Styela clava: one gene and its partner. The protein of the gene in region 2 binds, or shares a complex with, the protein of the main gene of each other region. Links are inferred from orthologs where the notes say so. Each region holds a gene or a part of one and is shown on either strand. Other genes may lie near its edges.

What was found. Proteins that work in one complex are often made in the same cells at the same time.
Region 1: DNA polymerase epsilon subunit 2-like (region 2) and DNA polymerase epsilon subunit 4-like share a complex: the UniProt entries of both Homo sapiens proteins name them as parts of the DNA polymerase epsilon complex. The link is inferred for Styela clava from reciprocal best matches to the Homo sapiens genes POLE2 and POLE4.

What each region holds. Positions count from the first base shown.
Region 1 is NC_135254.1:9,451,257-9,457,597, forward strand, and holds DNA polymerase epsilon subunit 4-like, read left to right. Parts: upstream 1-4,396; 5' UTR 4,397-4,811; coding exon 4,812-5,147; 3' UTR 5,148-5,835; downstream 5,836-6,341. Other genes in the region: spermatogenesis-associated protein 24-like, read left to right, coding at 5,837-6,088. UniProt on the Homo sapiens protein: Accessory component of the DNA polymerase epsilon complex. Participates in DNA repair and in chromosomal DNA replication.
Region 2 is NC_135253.1:16,331,393-16,338,959, reverse strand, and holds the start of DNA polymerase epsilon subunit 2-like, read right to left. Parts: upstream 3,016-7,567; 5' UTR 2,913-3,015; coding exon 2,848-2,912; intron 2,365-2,847; coding exon 2,264-2,364; intron 1,700-2,263; coding exon 1,627-1,699; intron 1,285-1,626; coding exon 1,207-1,284; intron 732-1,206; coding exon 598-731; intron 463-597; coding exon 347-462; intron 154-346; coding exon 97-153; intron 1-96. UniProt on the Homo sapiens protein: Accessory component of the DNA polymerase epsilon complex. Participates in DNA repair and in chromosomal DNA replication.

The DNA.
Region 1 (6,341 bases), on a different chromosome or scaffold from region 2:
AAGAAAAACACAAATATATATCATAAATTCCATAATTGAGTATTTCTGATACTTGCCTACTTTTAATTGCTGAGTAATAAACTAGGTCAGGTCTTGATTTTCGGAAGATTCACTGTTAAGCGTACTTTAATGACTGGCGATTTTATCATGAAATGACAAGTATAAACAACTTCGCTGTATTTTTGGGCGGCAACGTTTCTGCTAATCGAACGATTATATGAGATTATTCAAGTATTAAAAGAATGCGGCCGCAGGCAATGATAATGTTAAAATCCTTTCATATATCAGCGTGTTAAAAAAGTAACACAAAATTTAATCCTAAAAAGTTGAGAAAAACGCAAATTATTTTGTCATTGCAACAAATCACGTCACAGATATCGATTCCAACTAAACTCTTAACATAGGAATCTATAGCATCCTATTTGACGTTCAGTACACTCAGTTTTAAAATCTTCTCTTTCACGCCTGGTTACTATAGTTACCATACGCTTTCACTTTGCAAGCATGATTTCATTTTCACCTCATGCTTCCACAGTCTGTTGCTGATGTTTATTCCATGCCCTCAATAGAGATAATCCAGACAGACGGAAGCAGAGTTGTGAAATTTTTGAAAAAATGTGCAGAGCACATCCGTCGCGAATCGACAAGATCATCTAGTCAACTTCAAACTCGGGTTGATTACAACCTTCAATTTACTTGGAGTGAAGATTCCACTTTTTACACACAACGAAAGATATCTACTTGTTTCCATACCAGATAAATATATTAAATCACCAAAGTACACGCTAACGATCGCAAAATTTAGTTTTATTTGAAGGCAGTCATGTTTTTCTTTTAAGGCGCCGTGAGTTGTTTTCCTTCTAATTTGGCGCCGCACGAACAAAAAGTTTGGAAACCGCTTCACTAATATATTGCAATACGCATATCAATTATAAAAGAAAGAGAGTAAATTGTATAAGAATAATTATTTATTATTAGTGTTAAAAACATAATAATATAATACAGATTTATTATAATGTTTTTACACATTAGTGTTCTGTAACCGGAACTCCAGAATCCAAATCACATACATGCGGGTAACACACCAATGGTCGATATTAAGAATTTTCTACAGCATTTTATGATATAGGATTTCATATTTAGGTGTTATATTGTTTCAATGAAAACGAAACTGTTGATTATGATGATTCACGAAGTCACGAGGATAGTCGATGCTGTGAACACGTGAGAAGGTAAAATAGGAATGAAATATAAAATGGCGATTTCGATACCCGGACGTTTAGAGATTCTCCTATTTCTGATTCTACTTCAGAATTTTGAAAATCCTTTGAGAAGCACATTGTAAATTAAGGTCTGGTTTCAGCTTGATTCTAATCCCACTCTGGCAACCAGATTGTCTGAGTTGTCAAAACGTGCGCGTCAAGTTCTTCTATCGTAAATTGTTTTTAATACAACGACAATTTAACGCACAATTTACCAGTAGTTGTTAAAAAATATAGAAAATGATACTGCAAATTTGATGCCAATTTAAACAAATGTTTGAACAAGCTAATCTTACCGTAATGGCAGCGCTTTATAATATGTTGTATATATATACAATTACATTGTCAACAATGTTTAAGGTCAAGCGGTCATATTTTGTAATTAAGTTAAGTTCTTGAATTCGAAACTTAGTATTTTATGTTCCGGGCGGATTGGGGATTAAGTGTTTGGGCAAAACATTTTTTCGAAACACTTCTACTTTGAAAATTGAATTTAATTGAAGGTTAGATACGTGTACAGTCATACGATAAATTTGTTTCAATAAATTCGGAAACAAGATTTCAGTATGGAAATTTATAATCAAGTAAAGTAATTGAAACTTATAGCATTGTTCTCCCCATTGAATAATATTTGATATATTGCATGTACAGTACGATCTTTGTTTTGGTAACGATCCCTACTCTATAGAAGCTATTCAATGGTCCGGCAACTTTAGCGCGAAAGCACAGTCCAAGTAAGAAATCGTTGCGCGATGATCGATAAATCTAAAGTCTCTGTCAAGTGCCAATTTTATGATGTGATTCGTAATGTAACGATGATTACTACGGGAATGATTCCAGTAGCAAAGATGGCGATTGCTATACTTCCCTTCACAATTCGAAACACCTCACAATTTATATCCCGGTTGTATCGATGAGTGATATTCATTCATCCGTGTTTATTCGATTTTGGGGTAAAAGCAAACAATGGTAGTAATTTGGAATGTCTGGATCTTGATGGCGTTTCTTCTGCTACAAATAGAAACTCAGGCTGCTATAGCCTACTCATATTATTTTTAATCCCAATGTTTATATATAAAAGAGGTTTGGAACATGCTTCACTACTATCTCTTCCAAAGAAAACTATACCTTTGTTGAACAGATCATTGTCGCTGTTCTATGGATGTAGCATCGGACATCAGTACATTCTTGATGTTTTTTATTGTTAGGCAAATAACGATGTATAACTTGAATATTTTAGTCAATAAAAGTTCTGTTCACTTATGCTCTTAGTATTAACAAGACAATTTCATGCCATAGAGTCAGTTGTGGGATTCAGCCGGTTCGCATCGGTTCTATAGAACCGTCTCACGGAATTTTATGAGATCAGCGAACCGGTTAGCATTACTGCTTATTGTCAATGTTCTGTTTGTAACAGAACCGGCTGAATTATATGACTTTTGTGAAGGAACTGACTGACAAAAAATTTGAATCCCACCACTGCATAGAGTGTGCCATGTGGGAGTAAACGGTTACTGGAGCGATTTGATAACAGGAATTGAGCGTATTAGGTAAAAGATGAACCGGACACGAGTAAGAAGTACACAACACCAAACCTCCAGTTATTCCTATCCTGCTAATCTGTGCGTTAGTTGCCTGGCATCACCTTCTCAAAAATCTCCCGACTTTCGCGGAGCACGAGTTCGTATCTTCGTAAAATAAAAATCGAGAACAGCCATGGCGTAGTCTGTCAAGCTGGCGGAATATAAAAACGTGTTCTCGTGAATAAAATGGAACAGCCAAACTTTGGATAAGATATCTAATTTTATAGGATTTATAGAACAAGAGAGCTGTGCTCAAATATATGGAAACGTCACAAGGTGTCGCTATTATTTATTCTGACACATAAAAACGAATCTCTTGAAGTCCAAGTCCACAGAAATTTTTGAAATAAGTAAAAGTAATAGCCTTCTGGCAAAAAATCAATCTTTAACTACTGAAAATTTCAAAGCAATTGGTCCAGTATTTGAAGAGAAAAGCGATTTCATCATGGCGAAAGAGAATAATAACAACGACAACAACAACATAATATTGAAACGATCGTTATGTACTCTGACGTGTCCAAAAATCAGGAATGAATAAAGGTAATAGGCTTCTAACAATCTTCAACCACTGTAAATTTTAAAGCGATAGGTTCAGTAATTGAGGAGAAAGGCGATTTTTTCCATAACAAGAGAAGAAGAATTCTAACAACACAATACCAAAACGATCCACAGATTTATTTCGTGTCTAACAAGAAGAAGGAATACCAACTACAAAATATCAGATCGTATCCGAAAAAAAGGCATAGTGGGGTCGAAGGTCGGCGTAGATGTTCGCGGTGCTGTATAGATTTTCAAATTTACGTTTTTTAGACTGTTCAGCTTTTGGGTGTCAGGGGGATGGATATATTTGATACAAATGTCTACAAATGATACAAAAAAAAAAAAAAAGTCTATACAAGTGTATGTAATTATTAGATAAATAATAATTGGAAAAACTTTTTTTACATCCTTCATCTTAAAAATATTTGTAATCTTATACGGTAAATGATGATTATGAAAAAAGGGAATTATGGAAAAAATGAACGGTGATGAATTCTTCCTTGGAACAACCATGAAAAACATATTTAACATATTAATAATGTACTGTTGGTAATTTTTTTGATATTATTCTATTTGTTATTTTTTAATATATATTATAGCCTATATTCTGTATATTTGATCAAACGCGGAAATTGCTGTTCGATTATTTGAGTTGCATGTTGCATGGGTGAACAGGCACATGCATTTCTGCTGTTTTAAACCTTACTAAAGGTTTTGCCTGTTGTCCCGTCCCGATTTTCCCCATTGTTCTGTGTGTTCATCCTTATGTTTTGTGTGTTTGTTGTTTGTTTCGTGAATTTTTTTTTCAGGGAAGATCGAAATAAACTTATTATATTATTATAAAAGTTCAGTTTATGTCAAAATAAATTTGAATTTAATAGCACTAGGTTTATATCAAAATCGTCTGAGAAAAAACAAAATATATCAATAAGTGAGTTAGGCTAGTCTACTGGTACAATGTCACAATATAACAGTACGAGTACCGGTAGGCTATTTAGGTGTTATGGCATCACTGCATTAAGCTCCGCACAATCTGTCAACATACAGATTTAATTGAGTTGATATTTTTCATAGAGAAGTGACAAGTTCGTTCATAAAAATTGCTTTAAAGTCTTTATGCTGGTATGATGCAATTGCTGAATTGAATGGTCACTATGGAATTGATTCGGTATCTATGCAACTAGTGACAGAGTGAATTATGTACCGATATATTGAGAAGTGTATTTTTGACTGGTTTATTCGTCATGTATTCATGGAATTTTTATTCAGCCTATCCATATATGGTTTGTATGAATACTTTACTGCCTTATACTTTACACATCAATAGTATTATAATATAAAATTGATGAGTTTTTCCAGTTTCAATTTCATACCGTATAGTCTGATAGTCTAGGTATAATTACTATCTGTACTGTAGTTACAAAAGATGAGTGAGGAAACTGTTGAAGTCAACGAATCCAATGATGACATTGAGAACACAAATGATCACACAGATCAAGACGGAGAAAAAAGTGAAAAACTTTGCAGACTTCCTATTGCTCGTATAAAAACTTTGATAAAAGCAGATCAAGATGTTAACATTGCTAGTCAAGAATCTGTTTTCTTAATAGCCAAAGCAACCGAACTTTTTATCGAACAATTATCGAGAGATGTTTATAGAGTAACACAAGGAAATAAAAGAAAAACAATTCAGAAGAAAGATTTGGATATGGTGCTGGAAATTAATGACGAACTGGCATTTTTAGAGGGAACATTGGACTGATATGATTTTAGCAATCATATTGGAATGCAATACTTTATTTTGTACTCTAATAAGAAGTGTTCCTCATTTGGATTTTGCCTAAACTGCTCAATATGTCATGAAAGTGTGGAATATGTGATAGGCACATTACATATCTGGTTTTACTGTGTATTTACTGATATAAGCTTGCATTTGTCATCCTTGCTTATAATTTGGGAAAATTAACTTGGAAATTGTACTACTGCATCTAATTAGACATCCCAAACATTCTAGTTTTTCCTTGAGCTTTTGTTCATTAGATATTTTTTTGATTTGGTATTTCTTGTATCTATTTGAAGAAAGTTTAAAGTTACTTCTGTTAAAGCAAAATTGAATTTTTTTGCACAACATAATTGTTATACCATTTATTAGTAAGATTATCTTAGTTGTGCATATAATGTATTAGCACCACTTGAACGAAACGAATCTAGTATGTCTAAGGTTGAGTTATTTTTTTATATTCTACCTATTTTGTAATATGTTATATATTGTGACACTATCACTCTGAACATCAAAAACCTGAGATGGTGAGGTTTTACATTGAGACATGAGAGATCTCGTAGTATCAAAATATGCAGGGTCAATGGATATGATTCTGGCTACTGCACAAAATGAACTGCCATTTACACTTTTTTCTCTTTATTTCTATGGTTATATCATGATCTATTAGTATGGATGAATTATCAGATCATACATTAAAATTTTCCGGGAATATAAATACTACTCTTTCATCATCATTCTCATCTTCAATTGGCAAGACTGAATTAACAGATTCATCGACAGCAAGTTGTTCATCGACTCATGATCTAGTAAGAGCGACATTGCAAGATGTGATTGGACTTCAACACAATGCAATAGAACAAATGTTAGAAACAAAAGAGAGACATAAACTTAACTATGTTATGAAAACAACTTATGACGAGGTAAAATTAGTGCGAGTAGCATCAAATAGTAGATTACCTAAATACCACCAAAATTCAGGTCCCAATCACTAATTATTTATTTTTAATATTCAGTTATTTTTTTTATTTATCGTAGTCTTAATTTGTTCATTTTAACTTGTTTTGTGTTTGGAAAAATTTGAGAAGATTTGAATGTTTTAAGCTTTTATTGTGGGAAAACCTGATTTGGCCCAGACCCACCCAGACTCTGCGTCCAGTGGCCCCTAGGTAAATT
Region 2 (7,567 bases):
CAAAGAATTTCACACCAATTCAATCATGAAATTGATTGCTATTTCTGCACATAAGAAGAGGTCCAAAAACTAACTTCAAAGATGCTAATAACTTACAGCTTGTGACAAGTCCAACTCAACAGCTCCTGTCAAATCTTCTAAGAAATATTTCCTCTGTAAATTTTTAAATTTAAAAGGATGGTAATTGTGCATATATATTATATGTCCTTTAACTTTTATTCACAATATATTGAGAACAAGAGCTTAAATATATAAACAAGATCAAAAATTTGCTGCAAAAAATTGCTATATGTATTTGTAATACAAAGAAGGTCACTCAACATGGAATGTTGTGTAAATTACAAACCTCTTTCAGTTGTGATAACATTCCGAGGGCAATGACATCTTTTAATTTTGAAGAGCAACCAAGTAAATATTCAACAGTTCTTAATTTGAATTTTTTCGATGCCTCATCTTCCATACCTGTCGTTGATCAAGTAGAGTATTAGAGCATAGGACAGTAAGTACCCATTACCAGTGCATGTAGATTGAGATAAAACAGACCAAAGCTACAGCTACTAAGTTATAGATATCCTTGTTTAAATGTTTAGTACTGACCTGGTATTGGTGGAGTGAACAATTTATGCCTCATAGTTCTTTGATGTAATAATTGATATCTTTCACGAAATAATTCTACTTTGTGTTCGGCTTTGGAAAGTAATTTTGCATCACAACCATTTGCCTCAGAATATCTGAATCAAATTGAATACTACTAACATATATACGATAATTTAAAAAAAACATATTTTGAAGCTGAATGTCCAAAGATATAACCCTATTACCAAAGCAAATGTTTAAAAAGCTACTATTTAAAAAAAAACTGGAATCTTCCCTGTTTGACATTGCCTACCCACAACCTAGGTGTAGTGGTGGGCATGGGATTTGAACTCAAGTTCTGTCATCTGTGATGCCGACACAGTTAAGGCTAATGCTTTAACAACTAGGCCATCACACCCACTCTTTATTCAAATTTCAATATCGTCAGTGCTCTGAACTGTTGAAAATATGCGTGTTCCAATTTCCATTCCTTATAAACTATACACTTTTTCTAAGGTTAAAAAGATGTACATTTAAATAGCTTAATGAAATACATTCTCTTGCAGAAAGCTACCGGTATATCTTACAAATGTTATGAACTATGTAAACCAACTTTTAAAAATACCTTACTTGATAAATTTTTTCTTTTCTGTCAAATATGTATATTTTGGAATATCAAATGCATTGATCACTGAGAATACTTGATCACTGTAAAAACGAAAGGTAAAACGCGAGACAAATTAAATTCTTGGAACCAAAATTGGATATTGCTTTTGACTAACAATACAGTTTATTAATGGTTATTCTGGATTTCGTACAATTTTATTCACACACAATCGAAAAAAGATGGAATGAATTATTCACCAAAAACATTGCAATACGAAACTAATGATACGCAATGTACATTGTAGGTAATTGGAGAGATAGACGCAGTAGGACAGAATTTTAATGTTTATCCTGGGTGAGAGGAAAGTGCATCCATTCAATGGAAGTAAATGTCACTAATATAAAAAAAAACATTGTAGACACAAAGAACTTTCTATACTATACCCCCCATCTTCTTCTGCATTACATTCTTTGATTGCAATTTCTATAACATCTGCGTCGATGATATTGCTTGACACTAAATAGGAATTATAATATCAGAATATTATCAGAATACAGAAAGAATAGAAATCATAAACATATGAATGTATAATATAAATGCACTCGATTGAAATAAAGAAATTAAGCAATAACATATCTGGATAAAAAGCAGAATAAATATTAATTTTAGTAAAACACGCCAAACAATGTTTTCCTCCTACCTCAGCGAATAATGAAATGAATATTTGTACCTTTTTTGGTACTTTCAAATTTTTTCGTAATTCAACATGCCAGTAAGTCAGGGTCGGACATTTACTTTTCTGAGTGGGCCAGTTACAGGTAATAGACTTCGTTTACTGGGCCAGGGGCTCAAAACTAAATATGAAAAACAGTTTATTAACAGTTGTCCAACATCTAGGCTAACATTTATATAATAGTAAGAGGCACAGTACGTTATTCTTGCCGATATTTTTATTTCTATTCCTAAAAACTATAGTCGTAATTTTAGCAGACAAGTGGGCCTTCAGATCCGGCCCACGGTCAGTAATTTGCCCGCCCCTGCAGTAAGTTTTTATACATGGTGTAAAAATTGACTACTAACAAGTTTGTTTTTGAACTTCGTCTAAAATTTTATCGATCCAATCTTCTCTTTCAACTGCATTCACAACTGTAAGTATTTCAGTTAAGTAGTTGCTGGCATCACTGCAAAAAAAAGTTATGTAAGAATGATTCTGAAAGCCTGGTAGGTTTAGCGGACAGCATCGTCCATCTTGTCATAAGCTAACATGCAATAGAGTTAGCCAAGTAAATCTCAAATATTATGAAATTAAATAGTATTACAGCCAGAACGCACCACAGATGTGGAGTCAGAACTCAGAAGTCTGAGTATGAATCAAAATTTTTTATTTTTTTTATACAAAGCAATCCCCCCTCCTCAACTATCAAAATAAGGATTGTGATTGCGCTGGAAATTCATATTTTCAAATAATTTCTAACTGCAACTGAATATTTACTATTTTATTAAAACATAACATATTTGTGACGAGGACTTTGTACAAAAGATATAAAAAAATTTTAACAGAGAGCGAATCAAATTTCCCTTGACTCCTCTTTCCTGGGCTATACCACATGTTACAATCCCATAGTGCTGTAGTGCTGTGTACCTTTTCAAAAATTATCACTCACCTTCGTAGTGACAATCCATGCATCTTAAAAGCGGAAACAATGCTATTTTTTAAAGAGGCCTCCATCAATACAAGAATGGTTTTATTACAATAATAATGAATAAGAACCAGACTGAAAGCAGAAATATATTTTTATTCCGATTGAATAATTAAAAAGTAGGCTAAATGACAAAAAAATTATAAGAATTAAAATAATGAGTAGTGTATTTTCGAATAATGTATCTTTTAAATAGCCTATTCCTTTACAATCGAATCAGAATGTTTCAAATCAAATATTTCTGAATCTGATTAGTAATAATATAATAACACTACTGCACTAAGTTATATTTTTGTTAACTTTACTAAAATCAAGAACTACAGGTTGCTTTGTCATTAAATAATAATGATCTTAAAAATAGATAAAGTTATATATTGTACAGTCGTAAGGATGTATTTAATGCCTGATGCACCAAGGGCAGGAGGGTGGGAAAATTTTCCAATAGCATTTCGCCATATCCCAGTATCCTGATATCTGCATATAGATTTGCATGCAGGAATAGGAGCTTAACGTTACAATCACATACCGTAATCAGAATAAAGGATCCAAGGAATATATAAAACGAAATATATTTACAACTTATGCAATTCGTCCTTAGTTGCAAGCCATCGCCAGCACACAACAGAATATATATTATATATTTATATGCTTTGCAGAAAGGATACTATTATCCTATTTCCCGCTTGAACGAGTCCTACTAAAACCAGTCCAAACGCCCGAACATGTACTTGGATCGTTATGATTAATTTTTAAATCGCCCTTTCGGAAATCGGTCCTTTTGTTCTAGGAAAGCCAATTAAACTTTTTACAGGGCTAACCTAGACAAACACTCACAAATATTTTAGAAACTGCACTCGTGTGCGTTTCACACTTCTCACTCCAATATAAATCTCTCTCTCTCCTCTCTGGAAATTATTTGTTCGAGCAGACTATACACTATCGCTAACAACGGCTTGATCATTCTCAATCTAACCATTTTGACGCAGTTTATCATTCAAAAGTTTGAAATCATTGAACTATGGCTAGTTTGCCCTTAAACAGTTCTTCCTGTACCCATTGATGTAATTCTCATTGCTATACTTTCCATTCTTGAAATGCAAACTGAAAGCTAATTTTACGTAATTTATTCTCAAGTTTTTAAAAATCTAAGATTGAAGAAGTGATTGAACGCCAGCTAAATTTCGAATGTTACCGGTACTACATGGAGCATTCGCTGCCGAAGTTTATTATTAAAGACGAGAAAATTAATTTTCGCTGAAAAAGTCATTTATTCCCAAGCCTAATCCCGGATTACAAAGCATTTTTGTCAGGTAGGTACACCGGGAGTAAAATGGGCGAGGACTCACTAACAGCCAACTGAGTTTGACGGCTGAAAACAGGGGGGGTTGTAGAGAACAAGTTTCGAAAGTTCCGAACAGCACAGTCTATTATAATATCAATATCTAAAATATACAGCATTACTTAATATTTTCCAAAATTCACATAATCCTAATTTTTGTGCAGTAATACGGATTTTTGTTGACTTTGCATATTTAATTTCAAACGTATCAAGTATTTTTTGCATTGGTTTCTAGCTTTCAAGCATTTTTGGTAGACGCATTGCAATCTCAAATGAGTCCGCGGAGCGTTTGAATGAGTCCGCAACGAGCCAGAAATTCGTGCGAGCCGCAAACGATTTTGCGGAACTTAACTATCAGCCAATTTACAATTTACGTTGGAATTTACATAGAACATAAAAAGCAAGTTTATTCACATAACATTAAACGAGTCAATAATTACTGGTTACTGAGTAGGGCTGGGCATATATTCGAATATTCAACTATTAGAATAGCAATTTAATATTCGAAAATTTGGTAACAGGAGACGCGACAGGTCACTTGCACTTGTGCGCGTCCCATAATCAAACGATTGGATTTCACAACTCACTCAAGAATTTTCGACGAAAACACACTAGTCGGCACACGCGTCGATAGATGGTGGCAACCCGAATTTTCCAAATTGAAAAGCGGCAATACAAAACGGAGAACACCATAAGTTTCGTTTTATGATGGTCCGCGACCGATTAAAAACGCTTTTTAGACATTGCAACACGCGAAATTTCGGGTGCTACCGTAGTATACGTATACCAGGCAGTGATTTCCCTACACCCCCCCTATAGGGGGTGAACACCCCCCCTAAAATTTCGAACACCCCCCCTAATTTTGAGGTGCTATTCCACACTGAGGGGTTCTAAACCGCAGTCTGCGGGCCAATTACGGCCCGTGTGACGATTTAAAATGGCCCGCCGAACTTGAGTGAAATAGTTCAACCCTTCATGTGGTACCTTTTGAGTTTTAGATACCGTCTATTGTTACATCATTATCACAGTTTAAGCACGTTTATTTCGTAACAATTGAATTATTCCGGTATCTTATGTATAGGTATGGGTATTATGATTACACACTGCAGTATTTTAGATGTCAGCCATATATTAAGAAGGCTTAAAGATGTCACAAAACGAAAACTAGGAACTGAAAACAGACGTTTTTTAGATGAATGACAGCGTTTTTATTTCTTTATTGAAAAGAATCAAACTTCAGCGATTTGTCTCCTTACAAAATATTTCAGTTCTGAAGGAATACAACATTATGATCAGTTGACGAGCGTATTTCAAAATTTAATTCATACAAAAGTAACATGTTCAAAAAAATTAGAAATGTGTAACAAAACAAGCCATAAGTAGCCATTCATACAATGTCATGAGCAAGTAACTTCATTAGTCACTATCAGTTGCAAATTACTTGTTGAAACGTGGTAGTATATATTTACGGTTGCAAGCCGTGCTTGTTATCTATTCCCCGAGAATTCTATCAGTTAAATATTATAATTATTGATTTTATTACATAACAAACTGCAATGCTAGGTGTATCAAAAATCAAGCTTAGAGCCTATTTTGGTGCCTATTTCTCAGAATTTTCTCAGGGCGCTTAAGCGCGCCCTGAACCCCAGCCGTGTCGTCCCGCACTTTTCCTCGCTCCCCTTTTCTGGCCCTACAATTTCATTCTGCTCTGGATTTTGGCTCGCCGTCAATCAACTTGGCCCCCCCCCCCCATGTACATCGTTTCTTAAATACATACCATTTTTTTAAGAATACAAATAGCCTAGTTTTATCTCTAATCGAAAATTATTTACCCCCCCCCCCCCTAAATTTTGAAACACCCCCCCTAAAGGGAAAAGCTGGGGAACATACTGAATTACCAGGGCATCTTCCCTTAGGATTGTTTGCTATACTGCAGGGGTCGGGAACCTTTTTGGTCAAGAGAGCCATAGAATATACATATCTTCAATTGCATTTCCGTGCGAGCCATATAACATTTCTTCACTTAATCAGGCCTGAAATGTTCACTCAAAAATCAACACACTCACTGCTCACTTGCAGCCCAATGTGGAAATCTACGATACTCATCACCCTTTTTCGTTTAGGCATCTCCGTAGTGTTTTGAAAACTCTATCGCTCTGTGATGTCACAATATATGTTCCAGAATCCCCTTGTTTGTCACAATGCCTGTCTGGTAATTATCTTACATAACATAGACATGTGCTGGACGCGCGTTCTCAAACGTATTGGGAATTTCCTGCCAAATTTGGCTATAAAAGAATTTGAAATCTCGTAACAATAGTAAGCTTAGTCTTGGGATATTAGATTTTTCTGAGAGCCATATGCCGTCACCAAAAGAGCCATATATGGCTCGCGAGCCATGGGTTCCCGACCCCTGCTATACTGCCTCAACATTGATACGCCGTACAGTACTAGTAAGCGTTGTGCGAACAGCTCAGATTTGTTGAATTCACAAAAATATGAATCAAAACAAAATATAATCGGGCCTTTACCACGCATTTTTGTGTCCACGGATTGTCATGATATTTTCTGAGTAGTAGCCTATTGCTTTTATTTCGCCAACATGATCACAATTAAATTAATAATAATAAAGCAAGGCGATGAATATTCATTTTTTCATTTACTAATATATTTTAAATATATTATTATTAGGTACTGAATCAAGTTGTACTTTCTGGAAATTTATAACAGATATTGAGATTTTTCTAACGACGATAACAAATTTGCAAGATCGCAAAAATATGTAACAAAATTAAATATAATCGGGCAATATAGTCTCACATTATTACGTTCACAGATTGCCGATTGGCATTTTAAAGAAGAAATGCTTTCACCTTGTCGTAAGTCGACGCAACCGCTAGTTACCACGAACACAAATAAATTAATATAGAAAGACATTGGATTGATTATTGAGCGACAGAAAGCCAATTATACACTGAAAAAGTCGGCTCTTTTTAACGAACGCGTAATTGCAGCGAATTTCCGATTTTGAAATTCGTTACAATTCTGTTGTATTTGATTTTTATCTGGAGTATATTTTCTCACCCGCGAAAACCTTTGCGGACTCGAAGTGCGTTTATTGCAACCTGTGCGAAGAAGCAATAAAATCAAATACAACTGGTAATATTCTCATGACCGACCAGGTCCAATAGGCCACAGTTTTACAGTCGAACTGTCAACTTGTGTGAAACAGAATTGTGTTATCGATTGTTTCTCTTATACGGGACTAACTGCTTCCAATGAGCTGCTTCATATATGCTTTTGTGCGGTTAGATCCGCATGCATATAATGCAAGAATGCTGTAGC